Astyanax mexicanus: one gene and its partner. The protein of the gene in region 1 interacts with the protein of each later gene in a pairwise test. Links are inferred from orthologs where the notes say so. Each region holds a gene or a part of one and is shown on either strand. Other genes may lie near its edges.

Evidence for each region.
Region 2: the proteins of aggf1 (region 1) and mab21l3 interact in binary tests that used the Homo sapiens proteins (3 or more experiments, as listed by UniProt). The two-hybrid records come from large-scale screens. The link is inferred for Astyanax mexicanus from reciprocal best matches to the Homo sapiens genes AGGF1 and MAB21L3.

Annotation. Positions count from the first base shown.
Region 1 is NC_064424.1:23,657,605-23,666,685, reverse strand, and holds the start of aggf1 (angiogenic factor with G patch and FHA domains 1), read right to left. Parts: upstream 3,854-9,081; 5' UTR 3,765-3,853; intron 3,679-3,764; 5' UTR 3,616-3,678; intron 1,798-3,615; 5' UTR 1,779-1,797; coding exon 1,371-1,778; intron 929-1,370; coding exon 829-928; intron 1-828. UniProt on the Homo sapiens protein: Promotes angiogenesis and the proliferation of endothelial cells. Able to bind to endothelial cells and promote cell proliferation, suggesting that it may act in an autocrine fashion.
Region 2 is NC_064418.1:7,060,037-7,068,812, reverse strand, and holds the start of mab21l3 (protein mab-21-like 3), read right to left. Parts: upstream 3,362-8,776; 5' UTR 2,989-3,361; coding exon 2,941-2,988; intron 1,934-2,940; coding exon 1,793-1,933; intron 1,703-1,792; coding exon 1,631-1,702; intron 358-1,630; coding exon 66-357; intron 1-65. Other genes in the region: dnajc28 (dnaJ homolog subfamily C member 28), read left to right, coding at 6,919-8,049.

The DNA of each region.
Region 1 (9,081 bases):
TCATGGTTAAAAAAAAAAATCATAATAAATAAATAAAATAAATATCACACGTTCGAATAAATGGATGCATATAGGCCTGTATCGATAACTGTTTTCGGACAATGTCTTGTCCCAAAAACTATGTTCCTGTCATTTTTAACCATATCCTGCCACTGATGAAGATAATACTATAAATAATAATAAATTAATATTTAATAACACAAATAACACAATCATATTAGATTTTAATATATAAACGGGTATATGTCTGAGTAAAAAATATGTTGTTTTATTCTATAAACTACTGAAACACATCTTACAAATTCTAAATAAACAGTCATTTAGAGTATTTATTTGCAGAAAATGAGAAACGGTCAAAATAACAGAACAGAACAGTGCTTTAAGCCCCAAAATAATGCAAAAAAAAAAAAAACACATTAAAATTCATTTAGGAAAAATAATGTTTTAAGAGCTCAGACTAATTGAAACTCGAAAACAATAGTAGAGATCTAAACAGCTTGGTTTTCGTGCACTAGAAAAAAGCACTGTTAAAAATCTGTTACACACACATTTATTTCTACTTTATATTTCAGCTAGTATTTGTCCTATTTTATTGTAGAAAATGACAAATTAGTATTTGTGTTTTTATATTATACTGTATTATTTTACATAATATGTTTATGCTATGCCTTTCAGCATTTTATTTAATGCACAAAATGTTTAATAATATTAATCATTATTAAGCAATATTTTATAATATATTCTTACTGTTGAAAGAACAAATGAATAAATGAATGAATAGTGTGTGTATATTAGAGAGGAGTAATGGTAAAGGCAGTATTGAATAACCTGTTTCTGTCCAGGTGTATTCCTCAGTCTGAGTCTCAGCTTCAACTCGGTTCTTCTCCTTCTTCTTCCGTTCGTGAAGCTCCACACTCAGCTTCTCAACCTACAACACACAGAACAGAGAGTCAACTTATATTAAATCACCTTTTTAAGCTACAACCATACCAGGGGGATGAGCTCATTATGGCTTATTACTACAGCATCCTTCTTTCGTCTATCAATGTGGTATGAATGTGGTTTCATAAGGCACCTTATTTTATTTTATTAACGTGAAGTAATATGATAAGCTGAAGCAGTCATATTACAAAATGAACCTAACCACCGATTTAAAGTTCTCATTCCATTGTGTTTTTTCCACTTTATATCATAAAATCTGAACAGCACCTGCCTTGACCAGTGTTCTGCCAAGTTGTGCTGCCTTGTCAAACAGTGCTTCCCTAGTGTATATTTAAGGTCTCGGTAAAATGCATAATCAACCAGAGATACAATTTAGACCTAAAGTTATTTACCCAAGATAGCTATAAACAGAGCTGTAAGGGTGTTACCTGCTGTCTCAGGTCCTGGTTGTAGCTCTCTGTGCTTTTCTGGAGTCTCACGCTATGGCTGAGCTGCTTCTGCACTTTCTGCAGTTCACTTTGACATTCCTTTAGCTCCCTCTGCAGCCTCTCCACTTCTTTTTGCAGAACAGCAACCTCACATCCAGACTCATCATCCTGCTGGCAGGATATATCAGACACTGGTTCTGCTGTTTGTGGACAAACTGACTCATGAACAGATTCTTCTCCTTCTTTTTCTTTCTCTTCTTCTTTTTCTTCTTCATTCAGGGCCAAGGACTCAATATGACCACCATTAGTTTTCTCTGCCTCTACACTCTCCTCAGTGGACTTGGAACTCTCCTGCATCTCCTGATCCACCGGATCTGAGGTGCAGATCTCCTCAGCATCACTGGCCATCCCGCAGTCTCTCTGCTCTCTAACAAACAGTGAACAGAGTATTCAGACTCACAAGTAAGGCTGTATACTGGAAAAACTTAGAGATATATCACAATACAGGGGTTATGATTCAATATACTGCAATATATTATGATACTGTTAACCAGAGATGTGAGGTAACGAATTTGAAGTGATAAATCTCCACTGTCTCGGTTATAACTACATATTACAACATTTTAATACTTTTGTACTTTAGTAGTATATTTTATAATTAACTACTCACAATACTTAAGTTTATGACTTGTTGAATATTTCAGTCCTTTCACTTAGGCGTGGTGCTACTAAAGTATTTTTTTTTGATGGAGCACTTGACTTTTTTCTCAAGTCTGAGTCTCTAGTACTTTATACAAGTCTGCATATTTCAGCAATGAAATATTTTCTTTGTTTAAATCAAATTTCAGGGAAAAGAAATGTCTGGCATAGTAGGGCTGAGCGATATCAAGATTTCAAGAAATATCAATATATTTTCATACAAGACATAAGATGAGACAATTTTGTTCATATCGATATGTTTATAATTAACTACTGTAATTGCCTTTCAGATATTGATGAAAAGATTCTCCTAGAAAAACTAGGCTATTAAAATATACAGGATATGGTATTTACATTGGTATTTTACATGGTATTTTACATTGTACTTGACTATTGTAAGTCGCTTTGGACAAAAGCGTCTGCCAAATGTAATGTAATAATAAAAGTGGCGGTATAAATTCTGGAACATTCAGATTTGTCTCAAAAGTGTCTTTTTGAAACTACCTTATGGGGTAGAATAAATATAGAGACATATTGTAGATTTTTTTTTTCATATCACCCAGCCCTACTAGGTACAAAACAAACATATTTGTAATATATTGAGTTTTCAAAAAAAGTTATCTTATGGTATATAAGGCCAAACAGTTCTCCCCATGTATACTTTTCTTAAGCAATTTCTTTAGACGCATTTTTATTTCAAAGCATATTGTGTTTCTTTATGTGTTCCTTGTTTTTAGTCTACTCTAAGTGGGAGGAAAAACATTGATTAGAAAATCTGTTTTAATGTGTGATAAATAGCAAACATTCGATCAAAAAAGCTGTATACAAACATCATCATTCAAACATTAACATTTTGATCTCAACATATGATCTCAAACATTATAAAAGACGTCAAAAAGATAATTTGATAAATTATGCTTAATATTTTTTCTTGCATGGATACACATTCACAGTTTTTGTTTTTTGTGTTATCTGGAATTTGATAGTTTTTTTAAAGGTTTATCTTTGTTATTTTCTTTTATATATTACTAAGGCAGAGGGTTTATTTAAGCCTTTAACATGTTTTTTTGCCTCTACCTGCACTGTATGTTATATTTGCATTTTGTGTTTTCTTTTTTATTCTGCAAAAATAAAATTCTAATTAAAAAACTAAAGGCAAACATTATTAGTATTATAAAACAAGCGGAGATCTACAGGGAGAACCTACCTTTACCTGTAGTAATATTTTATCTTGGGTGTCTCTATTTTAACTGAAGTACTTTGCTAGGTAACCTATAAGTGCTATATTTTGTTATTTACATATTTAGCTAGGTTATCTTGCTATATGGGTTATAAATGGGGGTTGTATTTTGGTTACACTTTTTTTTGCAGGGTCGGCTGTCTGCCTGTGTTACAGATATAAACTGGCTTTATTTAGAGAATGTTAGTATAGTGGTTTAAGCTTTAATAGAAGGAAATTTAATCTGTATATAAAAGTAAACATGAAGTAATAACTAAAGCTAACTCAGGAGGAGTTGCTGTGTTAAAATGCAGCAGATTCTCTCACCGTTTAGCCGAACTCCTCTCTCCAAACTCTCCACTTCACCACCGCCACGACCCTCAGCTCAACCTGCGAATCACACATAAACATCTTAGGACCACCCAGCGTCCGAAACACACCCCAGTACATGTTAGTTTGATCAGAAAATGAGTTACAATCAATCAAATCGATGTGTTTATAATCCACTCCGAGCCAGGCTGCCATTTTAACTCAGCTCATTTACCCACGCAGCGCGGCGCTACTGATCTACTGCTCTACCGCCCCCTGCTGTTCCGGAGGAGAGAGGATCACACTTTTCTTGACAATCACATTCATCAAACATGTTAAAAATGAATAAATAAATAAAATAAAAACTAAAATAATTTGGGGCAGTTACTTCATTTGAAAAAAAATATTAATTCGAGATTTTAATAATTCGTTTGGGATGGTTGGATTGAGACTCGATCTCCCAACCTTGTTTACTACAATTTAAGACTAAACATTTTCAGTTTGGTGTTGTAGACTGCTATTCTTTTTACTTTTTTATATATTAAAAGGTACACACAAAACACAAACACTGTCCCACACAGTGACAAATATTGTGACATTGGAGTGCTCCCATGATGCTTTGGGGTGCCCGTGCTTTTTTATTTGGCGAATAAGTAAGGAATTGTATTGTATGTTTGTTAATCAGGTTTTGTGGTGTTAGTTTGTGCTGAAGGAGACGCTTTAATGAGGCAGGTTTCTTTTTTTTTTGTCACTTTGGAACCTTACCACTCACTGTCTTTATGTAAATAGGTACGGTGGTATCGTGCCTCAAACATCCCCGGAACCTGACCTACATATCTCTGCTTAGTTTCTGGAGTGAAAATGGGCGCAAAAACAGATTTAAAACAGCGTGTGTAGGCACACCTGAATGCAGTTTCCGCTTTATAAATCACAACCTGCTTGAAAATATGCGCAAATTATCCAGCCTTGTGTTCCGCTTCCGTACCGCCCAAATTTACCACGCAAATCATTAAATTAATATTATATATGGGATTCCACATTCATCCTGAGAGGGATAGCGGAGAAATGCACCGCAAGTAAGTTACATTTAGGAGACTGTGAAGTAGAAATCCTTGTTTTGGAGGTCGAGGCGAGGAAGAATGTGCTGTTTAGTGGTTTTAGCCGACATGTGTCTGCAGCAGGTGATACTGTAGCTCCACAAGCTGAACTGTTACAGAGTAACACTAGTCTCTAAAAATCTGTGCCCAACTCAGCACACAGTTCAATAAGAATGACTACTGGAAACCTAAATCGACTCATTATCATCATTCACAAAAAAATCTTTTATGATTCTACAAATCGACAACATTAATAATAATAAAATAATACTACTACTAATAATAATAATATTTACAAAAATATTTACAATCATAAAAACAATAATAATAATAATAACTACAAAAATAAATACAATACTAATGTTTGTATGTAGCACCTTCCGATTTTTTAAATTGTGAAACAAAACAAACCAGATAATAGAAATAAAATAGAAATTATTTACGAGTGACATTTACAAGTTAGCATTAAAAATAATGGCGAATAAGATATCGCAAGCATTGAAACTTTATACATGCAGACAAAAACATATTTGAACAAGTATATTTATATTTTATTATATTTAAACTTCTTTAATCTTACGTTTTTAATTTTGATACATGCAGTACGTATTAATATGCGTGAGGAAGGTTTACGCATTTACCTGCAATTCCGTGCTTTACCATATGATGTCACTAATTGCCGCTCTCTCCGCAATTTTTTATGGAATATGGTCGGCCTCAAACCTTGCTTAAATATACGCCAAATATTTCTTTATAAATCACAGTTGTTATGTAAGATGTTGCGCACGCACATTTCAGGCTTGTTTTTATATGTACGCACCCTTTATAATTGAGGCCTACGGACTTCCACTTTGTAATGTATGTTAGTCTTCTTGAAAATCAACTCAGAACACTGTAAAAACTATATATATCTTATATAATCTGATGTCAAATTGAAAAGGGAAATATATGGGGTTTAACTATTATTTTAGGGAATTCTAAGTAGTTTTTTTTTTTGCACTGATCACTTAAACATCTTTTATAAAACTTTAAACTATAAACTTCTTTCTCGTTTGGGTTGGTACGATGTTGGGAGTATGAATTCACCTCCCAACACTGTCCACTAAGATTTAGTTAAGACTAAACCTGTTCAGTTCCCAGCTGGCATTTCAACGTTGAATAAACGTTGTATCAATGTTAATCAACGCTGAAGTTATGATTGAATCAACGTTATGATATAGCAACATTGTTTCAACGTCATACGTTCAACCTTTAATAAACCATAGCTTACTTAAACTAGAAAATCCTATGGTTAACAAAGTGTTAACAATAAACTTACATCATGAGTATATAAAGAATGTTACTGTCCACTACCAATCTGATTCAACATCTGTTCTCAAAAACACTAAAACAGTAAAACTATTAGAACATGAACATGATGTTAAATTTAAAAAGCAGTTACTGCAAAAAGAAGTAAAACACTTTTTCAGTCCAACCGTTTTTAGAAATTATATGGTGATGTAATGTAAAATGCTGATTAAAAGGCAGAAGGTTGAGGACATTTTGTTGATTCAACGGTAAACTTTTAAACGTTAGCACAACCATTTAACATTAAATATTTGATTCAACTTTGTTTTAACGTTAAAACAACAACATACATTACTTTAGTCATATTTCAAGCACATTTTAACGTTGAAGGTCGGTTGTGTGCCAGCTGGGTTTGGTTTTGTGCCCTCTGTAGACTAATTTTGCAATTTACCTTATAGTACCAATTGAGATGCATCCATGATGCAACAGCACCTTACACTTACATTTACTGCCAGAAGGGGGCAGCAGAACCACGTTTAATTTTTCAGAATCAAGTGAACAAGGCCCACAAGGGTTAAGAGCAGCTTGGGCAAGTCAGGCAGATCCTCCAGAGTTCTACTTTACTACTTCCACATCTCATAACGTCTCCGAAATATCTCAGATAGCCGCTCCGCTGGTTCCGGACGCAGCCCGTAATGAGGAACGTCTATCAGCGCGGCAGCACCTGTTTCGGGCCCTGAGCCGCTAATGGCGTTCGCACGAGTCGAGCAGCGAACGGAGCGGTAATAGGAGAGAGGCGAGGACGGGAAATGGGAGTTAAACGGCTTGAGTTGCTTTATAGGGATCGTAATGAGAGAGGGGTGGAGAGACGGAGAGAAAGAGAGAGAGAGTGAGGGACAAAGAGGCGCGGGGGAACCGAGTGAGGGGAACCGGTGAATGGATGGAGAGGGGCTGAGTACAGGACGTGAAATTTATGACACCTCTCCTCCAGCTCTTGTGTTAAATGGCCTCAAAGTATAATTGACATTTGCATGAAAAGCGTGTGAGGGTGAAAATGAAGGGCGCGCATTGCGCATCATCCCAACCAGCAAACTTTTAATAGCTGTGTGCTAATGCTAAAGTGGGCGGCATTCACTTCTGTGAAATGTCTCAGTCAATGATTAGCCACTTTAGCTACTTTAAGTTGCATCCACTGCTGATACACATTGATTTATGCTTGAGCTTGTCTAGATCCTAAAGCGAAGTATTGCCAATAAAACCAGACTAAAAACAGGAACAGGCATTTGATATAGGCTACATTCACATTACCAGGCTGAAGTGACTCAAATCTGTTTTTTTGTGGCTCAGATCTGATTTTTTCATGGCTGTGTGAACGTGCCAGATCCGATTTTTTCAAATCAGATTAGAGCCACTTTCATATGTGTTCCTAAATCAGATACGCATTCGATCCATGGACATGTGACATGAATGTGAACAGTCAAAACAGAATTCATACGTCTTTTTGCATTAACGCATGCACTACATGCGTCTGTCACACCTTTAGCCTTGTGTGTCTTGTATTTTTCAGTTCCTGTCCTGCTTCTCTCTTTGTTTAGTTAATTTTAATCTGTTAAGTCTTCTTAGTGGTTTTCCTTATCTAGTTATCTTGGTTAGGTTTTCCTTGTTTTTGTAGTTTAGTTTACTTGTGTTTAATTGTGTTTTTACATTTAACCAGAGGTGGAAAAAGTACTGAAAATTTGTAGTTAAGTAAAAGTACCTTTACTTTGCTAAAATTCTACTCAAGTAAAAGTACCCATCTAAAAATCTACTTGAGTAAAAGTAAAAAAGTACTCAATTTAAAATTTACGTTGAGTAAAAGTTACATAGTTACTTTTAATTATTTGATGTAAAAAAGTACAAATCATAAATTAAATATTTTTAATGAATTATTATTCCAAATAATAATTTAGACCTTTCAGGCAGTGTTTGTTCAGACCACCCCATAAAACATTTTTAAGAACAAGTGGCATAGGTTTCTATGATCTATTATTTTTTTCTTTACTGTTAAAAAGGTAAAAAGTATGGTCATATGTGACTATAAACCGTATTTTTATAGTTTTACAGTTCATTATTATTTTTTAACTTGCCATTGCTATGCTTTAACTGTTATCTGTTGTTTGTTTAACATTTAAGACGATTGTTTAATGTTCCCAATAAAAACTTATCATTAAAACAAATTATCATTATCATTAAAAAGGAATTATCATTAAAAACAATGCTTCCCCCAGCTGATTTAAATAGCTTCTCTCCCGCTAACCGTAATAAACACTGCTGGAAAAAGTTCAGCTGCGCTGCCATGGACAACAATTATTTTTTTTTATTCAGACATTCAGTCATTTTTTTCCCAGCATTTTATTTTTTACTCAGTAATTGGGAGTTTTCCAATGTAGTGAAGTAAATTGCTTGTGTCAAAATGTAAAAGTAAAATTACCTATTTTAAAAACTACTTAAATTACAGTAATGTGAGTAAATGTAATTCATTACTTTCCACCTCATTTAACTACCCATTTTCCCCGCATTTAACTACCCGTGTTTGCTTTCAGTTTTTCTTTTTCTTTTTTTTTTATAAATTTAATACCTTCAATTACGTCTGTCTTCTCACCTTTCCTCTGTGACTGCTTCTCTCTCTCTCATACCCACACATCTCTTGCTGCAGCTGTGCAGCTAAAGCTGTAAAAACAGCAAAAGCAAACTGCCTGCCCTTTTTTTCTCCTCCTCAACCTGAACATGTACTTCAGATCAGCTGTTTTCTCTCCACTCATGTAAAAGATAAAAAAAAGGTCCACATATGAGCTGCTAACACATCCATTTCACCTTTATAAAGCTCAAGCCGTCTCTCAAATATGTTTTTTTTTGTTGTTGGTGAGGAAGGAGATGTTTATACACTTATTAATGTGCGCATGTGAGGCGTTTCAGGGACAGATTCGTCCACATTACACACAGATACAGGTCACTTACATTTATGACTGTAAACTGTCACGATGGCCAAATCTGATCTGAGCCAAAAATTGGATTTGAGCAAAGTGGCTTTGGCTAAAACGGATTTGGCATGTTCACACAG
Region 2 (8,776 bases), on another chromosome or scaffold:
TTATTTATGATATAGTTGTATTTATACAAAATCAATTTAGACCTTCATACAGAAAATCATCTCACCTGTGAGTTTGCAGGTTTTAATAGCAGCCTGTACCTGCTCCTTAAATACAGTGACGACTTTAGCGGGAACGATATCCCCCTCCATGATCACACGGGAGTCATGCCACTCCTGAGAGGCGTTGGCGAAGCTCTCCAGCTCCAGCCACTGGTGCAACTTCTCTGGATCTCGCACTGGGGAGAGAAGGCGTGACCCGCTCAGTGTGTAGTACCTCCACTGCCGCGCCTGCCTCTCTTTATAGGCCATCAGGCCACGCACGGGCACAGAGATCAGGAACAGAGTGGGAGTCAGCACCTGCAGGTACAGAAGCAGAGATGCATAGAATCATTCCAAACTCGCATTATCACTAAAGCCAGAGCAGCTGCTCCCGTTCTGCCTTTAATTCACTCTGAGAACTTTCCACTGCTTTCTGTAATAACTACACTAATAACACAGCACTGTACTTTTACTTTCAGTACTCCAGTTCTACATTTTACAATACACTACTTACGCAATACTTAAGTACAAAAATGTTAAATATTTTTAATACTTCCAAAAATACTGTGGGGCTTAACGAACACTTCAACTTATAAGTGACTTTTTCCACAGAGCACTTATAGAGTACTTTTACTCAAGTCTGACTCTCTAGTAATTTATATATGTCTGTACAAAAGTCATGAGCTTGTATATAAGATAAGTACACTCAAAATATTTAATACAGTGCAAAGCATGATTTGCAACAGGCTGTTGAAATCTTAAACATGCAGTATTTAAGCTGTGACAGATTTATAGTGACATAGACAGATAAATATACAGTTATAAGCAAACAAAAAAATGACAGTTTTATCTACAGTGCTGGAGATTTCCTTTCAGAATGTCAGATTGACCGATATGGACAAATTGCAACTAAGTATAAGCATTGAATATATCATTTTTGCAATTTGTATTTAATTATGATAACTTTAATATGTTTTCCTTGATTGGGTTCCTTACAGGTTGAGTTACATGCTCTAAAAAAATAAAATATCAAATAAGCATATAATATACCCACTGGACTTATCAAAACATCAGTATTAGCAGGGCCAGACCCAGTTTTACACAAAAGATACAGTTTTTACCTCACTTCCTGTGTGCTATATGCTAACTGTCCCCAGAAATAATTCAAAATTTCAGAAAATATATAAACGTCCTTTTTAGGAGGTTTCTTACAGTGACCACCGTTACTCAAAGGGTTAAGTAATAAAACATATAATTGTCAATCATTTTTAAAAAATCTGATTAATGATGTCAATATCCTGTAATTATTAGTGATTAAAATAATTTTACTAATAAATAAACCACAAAAACGTTACCATTAATTTGCATAAGTGTAAAGTTTCCAGATTAGTAGCATGCATGTAATTAACATGTAAATGTTGACAGCACTAGTTTTTATAATATTGTAAATGTGGCTCCGCTGGAGCAAGGGTATTATTTCTGTTCCTTTTATTAGTTATAGATCCTAAATTTTTTAAACATATATGATGTAAGAGATTTTATAAGAGATATTGTAAGAGTGATAAACGCTGTCACATCAGAAATACCTTACCTGAATGGCCGGATTTAAGGTACACCTTCCCCGAAGTAACGCAGCCCATTTTGATGCTAAAGCAGGCTGATCCTACAGAGAGAGCAAAAACAAGCTACAGTATATAAATGTACTAGAATTAATAAATCAATGCACAGATAAAGTGATGAGAAAAAGCTTTACCTTAAAACAGTCATTGTGAACTCCAGAGTTGGAGATGGATTGGAAGCGAGCATCTTTAGAGCTGACCTCAGTGGTCAAGTCTTTGATTATTTTCTGCACTTCTTCTACTGATTTGGAGACCTGTCTGTGCCTGAGGTCCACCTGAGAGGAAAACACTATAATAAATAAATCACCACTCTGCTGTATAACAATTACCATAAACATAAACATATCAAATGCTTAGTGAAAAAAAATGACCATTATACTACCGTAAGAACTGGTATATTTGTTACCCTTATTATAAAGTTTTACCAAGCAAAAATAAAGCCTAACTTCTAAGATATCTAGTCAGCTCACAGTATAATATAAAACTGAAATAGACAGTCCTTTTTAGAAAAATACTTTATTCTATCTTCCAAAATTAAAGGAGTGTGATGGAGAATTAGTTGTTTAACTCCATTCACCCCCATTTATTAAGTATTAAACTCGCGGGCGCCCTCTAGCGTGCTACAGTCATTTTCTTTTTAGTAAAAATAAAGATTTGAATCTTTTTGAAAACTGATTCAAACAACTTTAAAAATATATATATTTTAAAGTGCTTTAAACTACTTAAAATGAACCATTTTTACACCTGATTCAAACTATTTTAAAAAGTAATATCCAAAAAAATATTCAAACAACTTTAAAAATATTATAATCTTTTTCAAACCTACTTAAAATGAATAATTTTACAACTGATTTAAACAATTAAAAATAATAATATATTTTTTAAATATTTAAACTACTTTACACATAATATAATCTTTTTGAAAACTGATTCAAACTACTTACAATTAATATTTTTGAAAACTGATTAAAACTTATTTTAAAAGATATATTCAAACTACTTTAAAAAAATTGAATATTTTTAACTACTAAAAATGAATCTTTTTGACAACTGATTTAACAGACTTTTAAAATATAATACATATTTTTCATATTCAAACTACTTTTTTAAAAAAAAATATTTTAACTACTAAAATGTATCTTTTTGAAAAATAATTTAAACTGATTTTAATTCTAACGTTTCAAAAATTGATTCAAACTGTTTGAATAAAGAATTGAACCTTCTTTTTAAAAACTGTTTCAGATATCACTAAGTTATCAGTTAGTGCAGAACCTCAATGTACCTGATTTTGTAAGTAATGTTCCAGATCTTCCTCTGTAAAGTTCGTCATGTTCCAGCTCTGGTATGTCCTGCTCTGTTGTCGGACAAGACCCGAGTGTGACTCTGTGTATTTGTGTCCTGGTCTATGTAACACAGATGGAACTGGCGGAAAAGCACTTCACCAGATTGATCTCAGTAAATTGATTTTTCTAGACGTTAAAATGCTCCCATTGGTCACTAGTTCACGCACACATCCTGCATTGCCCTGGTGAGGCCCTTAAACACATCACCCACTTGTGAGGTCAAAAAAAGCACTTGTTTGGGATGTTTATATATAACTCACAGCTATATATAATATAGCATAAAGTGCTCTGATTATAACAGACTTCAACAGACACCAGTAACCTATTTCTGAATTTCTGAGTGTTGAAGCTACTCAGACTCTTTAGGACCCAGGGGAGCACAGATGTGAACATGACCTGAATATGCATGGATAGACCACACTGACTGTATGGGGCAGACCCTACTCCAGTTCTCTACTCTCACAAATGTTGTGTTGACATCAATCCAGGAGAAAATCCCTATTAACACACATTAGCCCTACGCAGCCAGTAATCTAGCCTGTAATTAAACCATCTGGATATCTATCATTACAGCCAACTCCCACACAATTATGATGAATGTTAGTTCATAAAATCTGGTACTAAATATGAATTTAGTTTCATTGATGTATTATATCTCTTAATATCACACTTACTATTTTTGTGCCATTTATTTAAACTGTAAAATTTAATAAAGATCATAATAAGTTCACTAATGTAACTAATGGACAATTATTGGGTTATCTACCAATTTATGTTATACATACGCAGACAACATTCGCATGTGAGGCATGTTTTCTGGGTAATAATATAGGCTATAGTAATTCTTTTAGTTTAAGGGAATAAATACAGCTCTGCAAAAAAAGAGAACACTTTAAAATTTTGAGTTTCAGTTTTACCAAATTGAAAACCTCTGGAATATTAATCAAGAGAAAGATAGATGATCACAAGCCATCAAACCAAGCTGAACTGCTTGAATTTTTGCACCAGACGTGACATAAAGTTACCCAAAATCAGTGTGTAAGACAGGTGGAGAAGAACATGATGCCAAAATGCATGAAAACTGTGATTAAAAACCAGGGTTATTCCACCAAAAATTGATTTCTGAACTATTAAAACTTTATGTATATGATCTGTTTTTTTGCATTATTTGAGGTCTGAAAGCTCTGCATCTTTTTTATTTCAGCTATTCCTCTTTTTTCGCAAATAAATGCTTTAAATGACAATATTTTTTGGAAATTTGGGAGAAATGTTGTCTGCAGTTTATAGAATAAAACAACAATGTTCATTTTACTCAACCATAAACCTATAAATAGCAAAATCAGAGAAACTGATTCAGAAACTGAAGTGGTCTCTTTATTTTTTCCCGAACTGTATTTTCTGCATGATATGTGGCGCCCTCTGGTGTTTAACTAATATAGCACAGCCAAAGAACCTCTACAAAAGAGAATACCCACTCGAGAATTTGTCACAGACACTAGGGGGCGATCTCGAGTGAGCTTAAAATTAATAGGGTCAGAGGAAACTTTTAAGCAAAGTTGTAGTTTATAAAGCTTTTTATATATTTTATGATAAAAATATATCCATGCTCTCATAACATGAGTTATTCTGCTTTTGGACCGAAGTTAGAAGCCTTTTAAACGAGCTCTGGCTGTTACTTCAGCCTAAGCTTATCAACCAGTCAGCCCACAGTAGCAGTAATGCTAGCGGCTTTGTTGTCCAAAACTCATTTGTTGTCCAAAAATGGAAATACACAGATAAAATTATTTGCTTTTTTAGCAAAATACTTTAATTTACCTTCCAAAATTATAGGAATACCATGGAGTACTAGTTAGAAAAATGTTTTATCAGAGTTTTAGTCGTTTAGCTCCATTCACACCCTTTCATTGAGTACTCACTCGCGGGCGCCCTCTAGCGTTCCAAACGACTTAAAAATAATATTTTTTGATTCACTGATTCAACTTACTTAAAATTAATATTTTTTTTTTTTTGAAAACTGATTCAAATAACTTAAAATGAATCTTTTTGACAAGTGATTTAAATTATTTAAACCTATATTAAAAATATGTTTTCAAACTACTTAAAAAAGATTTAAACCTTTTGTTGTAAATTACTTAAAAAGCTTTAAAACGCTCGAAGCCAATTCATGGTTATGTAGATCTTCTCATTATTTCTGTGTTTCTTTATTTACTTACAAAATAACTGATGTGGTTTTGATTTACACTAGCTAGTTCGTATAAGATTGTTTTACAGCGTCATTGCTGGATTTCGCTTTATCAATGGGGCATATGGAGTGGGCACTCTCTCTATAAACAGACTCTGTCACTGTTTAATATACGTAATAAAAACTACAGTTCCCAGCATGCATTTCACCCGCTCCAACCACAACAAACCACCGTGTCTGTACGGTATCTGAGGACATTTAGATAAGCGGCCGTTTTACAAATGGAAGCGCTTTTAGAATAAACTGAGGTATGTCACCTACTCTTGTCCTTGTGTTTTAAAGCTCAGTTAGCTGAGCTTATAGTGTAGTATAGAGTAGCGACACGCTGCCCGTGTTGTTTAAATGCAGTTCAGTAACGTTAACTAACACAGCTAGGTTAGGTTAGTTAGCTCTCTGTTAGCTAGGTTAAGAAAGCTACACCTGACTGACTGGTAAAATACTGCAAATCTCTGCTGGACTGGACAGTGTTTTAGGATTTATGAACAGCTCTGACTGTAATAAATAAAACTGAGTTACTGGAATCTGGGTCAGAGGACTACTGACTTGTTCTGATGTGAGAGTAACAGGTTTGACTGTGTCTAATAATAATCAAGTTGCTGCAGGTTAATCTACCACCTGCATGCCTGGCTCCGTTTATACGTATTCTGACAGAAGGTTTCAATTAAACGAATTCCCATTTCTACACAGATGTCTTACTTACACTTTAAAATAGTATAACGCTATATGGTAATCAAACCTCATCATCATCATATTTTTTTTTTCAAAAATAACGTACATTTTGTCAGATTATGTGGAATCTTTGCTAATTTTAAAGGTGATTTTGATTTAGTTTTAGTCTTAGTCTTTTAAATAAAACGCATTTTAGTTTTAGTGTAAAATTAGTTTTAGTCACAATTTTGTCATTTATATATTATTCGTTCTTTTTTTTTTAAGTTTTAGTCGTTTTTTTAGGTTTTAGTCGACAACTTCAACATTTTATTCTTGTTGGTTAACTAACAGAGCTATAAAGCTAACCTAATAGAGCAAGTTAGTTAGGTTAGCTAACAGAGCTAGCTAGCTAACCTAACAGAGGTAGCTAGCTAGTTAGCTAATCAAACAGAGCTAGCTAGCTAACCTAACAGCGCTAACTAGCTAGTTGGCTAACTAACAAAGATATCTAGCTAACCTAACAGAGCTAGCTAACTAGTTAGTTACAGCGATAGCTAGCTAACCTAACTGAGGTAGCTAGCTAGTTAGCTAACTTACAGAGCTAGGTTAGCTAACCCTGGCTCTCAAAGGGAATGGCAAGTGACATGATGATTGGTTTATTTCACATTATGCCTCAAACTCGTCCATGATTAATTAAGAGTATTAGTATATGCTTTTTAAACATTTAAATTGCACAAGTTGTACTTTTCCTGTCATTCTGATAGCAAAGACACATTGACACCCTAAATCAATTGCGCCGTACACGGTTGACGGCTGGCCCAAAGAACGTTACAATAGGGACCTTGGTAACTTCAGAGGAATCAGTTGTCCGTTTGCTTTGTGTATAAGATTGGATGCCCTGGTTTAGTACTTTTTTTCTAATCATGTGCTGTTATAAATTCTATACTGCACAAGTGCTTTTTTATTACACTTTTAATTATGTACTATTATTTCCTTTCTTATAGAATCTCCTTTGGTGTAAAGCACAATGAGCTGCTCTGTGTTGCTCCGCCTGCACCCTGGGGACCTCCATAAAGTCCTGCTGCCCATCTACAATGCTGCGACCGTACGCCTGCTTTGCTCTGCCTCTCGACTTAGCCGCAACCTGAGAGAGAGCTACCGCATCCTGCAGCTGCCTGAGGATGGAGACAGCAGCCCTGAAGAAGTAAAGGAGGCCTATATGCGTATGGCCAAGCTCTATCATCCAGACTCTGGAACCCCAACAGCAGATGCTGCATTGTTCTGCCACATAGAGGAAGCTTACAGGGCTGTAGTGGCCCACCTGGCCCGGCGGAGGTCTGCGTCATCAAATGCTCAGATGGATGAGGATGAGGAAGACAAGACTAAAAACCAGGCCCCTCAGCACAGGCAGTACCTCAGCTTTGAAGGCGTGGGCTCTGGAACACCCAGCCAGCGTGAGCGGCAGTATCGGCAGTTTAGGATGGACAGGGCCACAGACCAGGTCTTGGAATATCGGCGTAAACGCATGGAGCAGGCAGCAGCAGAGGAGGGTGCCATGGTGGTTAGGGATGCACGCATGCGTAGCAAGCAGATCAAGATCACGCAGGCTGTGGAGCGTCTGGTGGAGGACCTCATCCAGGAGTCCATGGCCCGGGGTGACTTCCGCAACCTGAGTGGCGCTGGTAAGCCACTCAGCAAGTTTGACCACAACCCATTCTCTGACCCCATGACACACAACCTGAACAGGATCCTTATTGACAACGGTTACCAACCTGAATGGATAGTGGCCCAGAAGGAGATCAGAGAGACCATTAAGAAGCTGCGGGACAGACTACAGGAGGTCCGGTCCCGGCTTGGCAGCCCCATGAGGCACTCTGAACAGCTGCAGTGGAAAGAGCACTGTGCAGATTTCACAGATGATCTGAAGAAGCTCAACAAAAAAGTGGACACGTTCAACCTGATTGTGCCTCTAATGAGTCTGCAGATGGTTCATTTTAATACAAACAGGGAGGTAGAAAATGTGATGAAAGCTGACCAGGAATATAGGAAGAAGATGGAGCAGGAGAGGAAGCACATGAAGGACAGTGAAGAAGCAGACACATCAAAGCAGAACTCTAGACAAGGACTCATTATGTGGATGCAGAGTCTACTCAAATAAAAATATCCCAGAGTTTTATATCTGTAGTACACAATACTGTCTTGAACTGAAGTCTAAAATAAGCGCACAACTCACAGCTCTTTAATAGTCTTTTTCATTTATTATTACAGTTAATGTGATATACAGAGGATCAGAAAAGGCGGTAACATGAATATCAGCTCATAAATATCACTGTTATGTAACACAATTATGTAAATAAAAATGATGCTTATTTAAAATCAGTAGAGAGTTAAAAAAGGATCAGATTATTTTTTTCCACCCAGAGGCAAAGACTATAAATATAATCCTTTTAAATTCCAGAATGAGATGTATGAATAGTTTCTGGATAAATTAAGGTACAGTTCAGTGAGGCTGACAAGAAACAATACTATAATGCAGTACATATAAGCTTGTATCTCCAAACAGCAACTTTTCGGAAAAAGTTAAAAAATCCAAATGGAGATACATTATTTTTAACACATGTAATATATTTAACATTTAATATATGCAATGTCCAATCACATTTGAACACTTTAGTTCCACTTGCATTCTTTAAACTGACATTTTCCTGCTTTCTTATTTGATTTTTTTTGTCCATACAGCAACAAAAAGCTTACATGCGCATGCAAGCCCTGGTTTGAGCAGCAGTAGCAGACATCTAAACACCACAGGGAGGTGCACTACTCCCTGTGTAGTGTGCTGTGCAGGTCACAAATTTTCTCTTTAAATAGAGCATTATATATTTGCA